Saccharomyces cerevisiae S288C: one gene and its partner. The gene in region 2 interacts genetically with the main gene of each other region. Each region holds a gene or a part of one and is shown on either strand. Other genes may lie near its edges.

The links. A genetic interaction does not mean that the proteins touch.
Region 1: mutations in YPT7 (region 2) and LCB1 together harm fitness more than expected from each alone (negative genetic interaction), as found in Saccharomyces cerevisiae (2 studies listed by BioGRID).

What each region holds. Positions count from the first base shown.
Region 1 is NC_001145.3:858,614-862,608, forward strand, and holds LCB1 (serine C-palmitoyltransferase LCB1), read right to left. Parts: upstream 2,279-3,995; coding exon 602-2,278; downstream 1-601. Other genes in the region: GSR1 (Gsr1p), read right to left, coding at 1-277; carboxypeptidase C PRC1, read left to right, coding at 3,309-3,995. UniProt on the Saccharomyces cerevisiae protein: Component of serine palmitoyltransferase (SPT), which catalyzes the committed step in the synthesis of sphingolipids, the condensation of serine with palmitoyl CoA to form the long chain base 3-ketosphinganine.
Region 2 is NC_001145.3:265,383-268,474, reverse strand, and holds YPT7 (Rab family GTPase YPT7), read right to left. Parts: upstream 1,302-3,092; coding exon 675-1,301; downstream 1-674. Other genes in the region: VRL1 (Vrl1p), read right to left, coding at 1,721-3,092. UniProt on the Saccharomyces cerevisiae protein: Ypt/Rab-type GTPases are key regulators of membrane trafficking and intracellular vesicular transport.

The sequences.
Region 1 (3,995 bases), 590 kb from region 2:
CTGCCTGTGTGATGGGTTGACCGAAAACATCACACAGAACATGACCTTCTTCGTTGGAAAAATAAGATTGTCTGTTCATGTTGTCGTGGAAGGTATCAGCAGCTTGTTCAAAAGGTTGGGCTTCCTGCACAGCGTCTAGAATAGGATCAGCAACGGAAGCAGTACGCATCTTCAATCTTGCCTTGTCATCTTCAGAAATCTTGACATCTGAGGCACGGTTCGCTCCGTCATGATCACTCGTGTTACTGATACTGGATTTCTTTCTAAAATGCATCATATTGCCTTGGTGTGCTGTTTTAACCTTGTTTGATGTTTGCTGTGTCTCTTGTGTTAGTTCTCTGCCTAGTGAAACCGAAAATGCTCAAGAAAGCGTACCACGAAAGTACTCCTTTCTTTTCTATTAATAAATAAACAAATAAATAATACAGGTTGCTTTGCCTCGATGGTAAAAGGAAAGAAAATTTCGGATCCGAAAATTTTTAGCGCATTCTCTGGGCGCCGTGCACCACGTCAATTTGACAGAGATGATGTTACGATTATTTGTATTATTGTATAAATATTTATATATATATGTGCGTGTGCATATACTGGCTTTCTATTTTTATTTATTAGATTCTTGGCAACAGGCAAGGATGGACTGCTTGACACTTTCGCAAGCATTTTTGAGTTCCTCTGGGGACATGGCGGCGTTACAGCAGATTTTCAAGCTAGGGACAATTGGTAGCGTCTCCTGTTTTAAAACAATAGTGTTTCTTGTGATGAGAACGTTGTAGTTAATAAGAGCATGATCTACTATGGACTGCAGAAATTTTTCCTCCTCTTCGTATGGCTCAATGAATTTGTTTGTCTGGGACTTCTTTTGCAAAGCTGACATGGTTTCGAATAGCTGTTCGCAGGTGTATCCGAACTTGCGAGACCTATATGCGGGAGTCAGTTGCAGATGTAGGACAGCAGACACTGGAGAGGACGTGACGATTACGTATGAACGCAAGGAGTCGTCAGATGCAAAGGAATCATGCAAAGATTTGGATAGTTTTTGCAGCGTCTGGACGGCGTCGTTGTTGGAGTCCATCAATTTCAAGACTTTGGAGACGGATGTGACGGTGTAAGCCGGCAAACAGGCAGAAAAACAATATGCATTGGAACCAATACGCTGGTGCAAACACATAACACTGTCACCCAGGACAAAACCACCGGTGGACCCCAACGCGGTGGCCATGGACCCAACGGTAATGTCAATGGCAGTTGCGCGATCCATGTTGAAGTGCTCTGACAACCCACGGCCCGTAGCGCCAAGAACACCAATGGAGAAGGTTTCGTCAACAAATAGTCTGAACTTGTACTTGTTCTTCAGCTTAGTCAACTCAGGCAACGGAGCTAAATCGCCCGAGTTGTGGAAAATACCCTCAGTGACGATAAATTTTCTTGGAATGGCGGGCAGTTTCTCAAGTTTCTCCTGTTCGGTCAACTCGTTTAATAAACATTCTAGCGAATTCATATCGTTGTGGTTGAAGTAGTAGACTGTGGATCTGCTTAGTTGCAGAGCATTTTGCACTGGTAATGACACCTGGTCGTCTGCCACGATAACATCACCACGCTTTGTGAAAGCAGGCAGAACAGAGGGTGCGGCACAAAAGTCTTGCCCGTACAGAACGGAACCTTGGGTGCCAAAGAACTGTGCTAAATCATATTCCAACGTGTAATGAACGTCCTGGTTACCGTAGAACCCGGCGGGACCACAGGCGCCCACACCGTAATTCTTGATAGTGGTCTTGACCACTTCTTTCACGGGCTCCGTAGCGGACAATTGCAAAAAGTTGTTCGAGGCCAAATTGAAAACATTGGTATACTTCTCCTGCAGGTTGTTTCTGGTGATAGTAATATGGTTCTGAATGGGCATTTCCATGGTGACGGGTGTTTTGGCCACCCTCCACGATTGCTCATCGGTGGCAGAAGGGTCGACTAGAGGCTCGGGCTCCCAGTCCTCAATTAGCGCGTCAATCTCCTGGGGCGATAGGTTGGGCTTCTGTGCTTGAAGACTCTTTTTCTGTTGTGGCTTGGACAAGTAATAGATGATCCCGTATAAAATAAGCCCTATCTCAACCGTGGTCCTGTATGGATCGTCATGATGCGATTTCTTGATGTACGAAACGATGAATTGGCCTCCCGGGATTTGAGTCAACACCAGATTGAAGTAGTACCATAGGTACGATGAGGTGGTAACAATAAATGCCGGAATCGGTATTGATTTGGGTAAAACCTCTGGGATGTGTGCCATTGCTTTTTTTTTTTGGGTGGGAAGGAAGAAAAAAGGATAAATAACCCTACACGAGCAAAATGTGTATATTGGAGGCCAGGCAGAAGGTTAGAGCGCTCTTATACTGTGCTACTCGATGATGTTGAAAAGAATTTTTTTTATTTTTCCTTTTCTTTTTCTTAAGTACTATATTTTCTCAATCTTACTTTCGTTCACTACAGTTAACCGCAGCAATATGCCCCTATAAAAAAGAATGAGTGAAAAATTTGTTAGCAGAGAAGCAAGAAGGAAAGAAGGAAAAAAAAAAGAAACCGTGTAAGAAATCATGGCGCCTCAAAAAAAAAAAAATACGCGAAATCGATTTCCGTATATGATGATACATATGTTAGGTCTCTTATGGTAGTTTTTAGGGTCTGTCCTGTTTTTTGAAGGCATTGGTTAGGGTCTAGTAAGTAACTCGTATAAAGAGATGTACTTTTATACGGTATGTGTGGCGGTTATTTCCAGTGTTTTTTTTCCCTTATTTTGTGGGTTCATGGAAATAGTACATATTGACCTTCTGCACAAGAAGCCATATTGACAGAGCAGTATGTGAGGACCTTTCTTCTACACAATGTAACAGTCAATGGTTGTAGTCAATACCACGACCTTTACGTGCAGTTTTAGAGCGAAACTTCGGTTTTTTGAGACTTACCTCGTGTTTGTGTCTCCCTGGGAATGGAGCCGCGCCACCCTTGTCTATTATGTATAGTCTTATTTAATCATAGCGATGTTGGTCATCCAGTACACTTCGGTAGCAACCTTCGTTTGTGATTGTCTTGGTAATTGCTTCCAACAACTTTATCCATCATTGAGACAGGGGCCATATCACCCGCGGGGTCTCAAAGAAGGGGCCCACTAATAAAAGCACGAGATAAGAATGCCAGCAAAAAAGCTCCGAAATAATTCTTTTCGTCTTCCCTCCTAGTCTTAACAAGACAAGAGAGAGAGAGAGAAAGAATACTCACTAGAGATTGTTTCTTTTCTACTCAACTTAAAGTATACATACGCTATGAAAGCATTCACCAGTTTACTATGTGGACTAGGCCTGTCCACTACACTCGCTAAGGCCATCTCATTGCAAAGACCGTTGGGTCTAGATAAGGACGTTTTGCTGCAAGCTGCGGAAAAATTTGGTTTGGACCTCGACCTGGATCATCTCTTGAAGGAGTTGGACTCCAATGTATTGGACGCTTGGGCCCAAATAGAGCATTTGTACCCAAACCAGGTTATGAGCCTTGAAACTTCCACTAAGCCAAAATTCCCTGAAGCAATCAAAACGAAGAAAGACTGGGACTTTGTGGTCAAGAATGACGCAATTGAAAACTATCAGCTTCGTGTCAACAAGATTAAGGACCCTAAAATCCTGGGCATTGACCCAAATGTCACACAGTACACGGGTTACTTGGATGTGGAAGACGAGGACAAGCATTTCTTCTTTTGGACTTTTGAAAGTAGAAACGATCCTGCAAAGGATCCGGTCATCCTTTGGTTGAACGGGGGTCCAGGTTGTTCTTCACTAACCGGGCTGTTCTTTGAATTAGGACCCTCATCCATTGGACCTGATTTGAAACCCATCGGGAACCCTTACTCTTGGAACAGCAATGCCACCGTGATCTTCCTTGACCAGCCTGTCAACGTTGGGTTCTCGTATTCCGGGTCCTCAGGTGTTTCCAACACTGTCGCCGCTGGTAAGGAT
Region 2 (3,092 bases):
AAAAATCCTGATTTATATTCATTTTATTACTGTATTCCTTTTTTCAAGGCGGGAGAAACTTATACCGCCATAGTAAAATAAATAGTGACTAAGGTAGCCAGAACTTCTCATCAACAAATTGCGAAATTAATTTCTCTTAGAAAAGCCATTCATTGGAAAAATGAAATACCGTAAATTTTAATCATCCATTGCAAGATCTTTTATATACTCTGTGCAGTTTTTTCAACTCTAGCCAATTTATCCTGTCGTTGAAATCTAAATCTCTAAGAGCAATTTGAGATTTCGATATACATTCGGAGAAAAATTATTTTTACGCTGACGTTATATTTAAAGTTCGGAACGCATACACATTAAAAATCCTTTTTTCAAAAAACAACAAAAATATTTTAGTATTTTCAAATATTAAAAAAGAAAAATAAATATTTTGTTAGGTAGTCATGTGATTTTTTGTCACGTTTTGTTGAGTTATATTATCTCAAGTGTAGTAAATCGCTTTATTTAACAGTTGTGTTAATTAACTAAGGTTCATAGACAGATTGCACATGGTAATCGAAAGCCTCATATTGAAAGGGCCATCACATCCCTAAATATATTTAGTAGTTTTAAATTATTAATTTTTTTAAGGATACGCTATAAAGGATTACATAATAGAAGATACAATTAAGTAGTACAGCTCAACAGCTACAAGAATTATTTTCTCCATCTAGGCGAATATTGATGGCATCATTATAGTCATCTTCAAAGGCTTCTGTATCAGCTTGATTCTGTTGTAAAGCACTCCTTGCAATTTCTTCAAATGCGGTATCAACGTTTATGGCGTTTTTGGCACTTGTTAAAAACAAAGGAATATCGCCTAATGATTTAGCAAGCTCCTGAGCGGACTTTTCTGATACAATTTTTTTAGATTCTTCGGCATCAATTTTATTTCCCAGTATAACAAATGGAAATGTTTCTGGTGAGTTTACGTTCGCATGCACTAGAAATTCATCTCGCCAAGACTTAATATTCTCAAAGGAACTGGCATTGGTCACATCGTAGACCAAAACGCAACAATCTGCACCTCTATAGAAAGCAACACCCAGTGATTGGAAACGTTCCTGTCCAGCAGTATCCCAAACTTGCATGGTGGCAACTTTATCACCGTCAACTGTCACCTCTTTTGTTAAAAAGTCAGCCCCAATTGTTGCTTTATACTGTTGAGAATACTTATCATTGACATAACGGTGCATCAAGGAGGTCTTCCCAACACCAGAGTCACCTAGGATGATTACTTTCAAAATATTTTTTTTTCTAGAAGACATCACTTAATTTGAATTGATACAGAAGGGGTTTCTATATGGATAAGAAGTGGACTGGATGAGCTTATTCCTCTTATTTTGTTGGTGATTCCCAATGCTGTTCCTCTGTAACGACTGCTTTCAAGATAAAGGTACAGATTAACAAAAGGAACTTCTTCTCTCAGTAGGTCGAAATGCGAAAAGTTAATCCGCGAGATACAAACGTTACCCGTACCGGTGAGTTCTGAGGTTATTCCAATCACTGAAGAATCGTCAGCTATTACAGAGTAAAACAGCTGTCACTCTTTTCGAGTTACGGAGCTGCCCGTATATATATATATATGTAATGATGTTTCTTTCAAACTCTTTATCTCTTATTTTTGGGTAAAAAATTCTATAGAACAAGTGAGAAGAAGGTAAAATATTGCAATGCTCAGTCAATCTTAAACACATTCTTGAAGAACGCTAATGTTGGTTGTGGCAAATGCCACAAGACTACGCTGATCTAAGCACGCCTTCCTGAACTCCATATAATTGCTTAGTTCCTCGGCCAACCTTTCGTGAGCTACAAAAATTTCGCTTCCAAGTTCTTTGAGCATTTTTGAAGAGGCCTTTATCTGAACCGCTAGTCTTTGCTCCGATTGTTCACGCTTCGTTTCAATAAAACCACCAAGTGGAGCACGACTAGAGGTATCTGATGCACTTTTTGGCTTAACCATGTTAGGAAAAGCCTTCCGATAGCTTTTATGTAAAGCTAAAAACTCACCATAATGTTTCCACCAGTTCGGAATTTTTTCAAATAAAATTATCTGAACGAAACTAGATAGTTGGATAGTACATTGTTCCAAGAAACGCACGTTTTCTAGTAGTGCTGCTAGCGATAATTCACTGAACATATTATGATTTGTTATAATCCCCTTAAATGCGCTGGATGCTTCACTATTAATTAATTTTCTACCCATTTCGTTAAGACCCTTATAAGCATCCTCGAAATCATCGGATTTCAAATTAATAAATATTAAGACTTTCCTCAAAATATTCAAGCTTGCCTTAAATGATGAAATCTCATCAAAATTAAAACGTAAAAAGCTTTGTATCATATTAATCTCCTCGGGTTCCATTGTTTTTGGATTTTCTTTTCCTGAGGGTTTCTGGTTTCTTTTAGAAGTGTTTATGCGCATCCAATATAAGATAGAAGCCTCATCAGTGAACAAATTTTCTGGAATTTTTTTCAGGAATAAAAGAACGTTGAAGCAGTTAGTTAATTGGTGAAGTAACGATGTGACATCTGTTTTCCCGATTATTGTTAAATCAGAACGGTTTAAGTGCGATATTTCATCGATATAGGTATTTAATGGCAAAAAGGTGAACGGATTGTCTTTCAGAATTGAGCGTAGTAAGCCTTGAATTGTTTTCATGTTAATAACAGTAGTGGCGAAAGGTTTCTCTGCATTTGAAACGGATGTTATATTTGTTGTCGCATTTAAATTATGATATCGCAAAGAATGAAAATATATTAATCCAAAAAGTGAATCTTTGACACCCCTTTCTCCTATCTTGCTTAGTACCGAGTGATCTTTTGCATAATCAAAACAAGTGAAGAAGGTCGAGTTTTGAACCTTCTCTAATATAAGTCGACGGTCTTTCGTGATGGCGTCAATATTACTTAGTCTTTTGTACTTCACATATACCATTAATGGCGTCAATCCCTTATAATTTTCCTCATTAATATCTAGCTTAGTCAGTTGTAAAAGGATTGGAATGTTTGTTTTCAAAACATGCAACAAGCTATTGCCCTTATTATCGGTGTGGTCT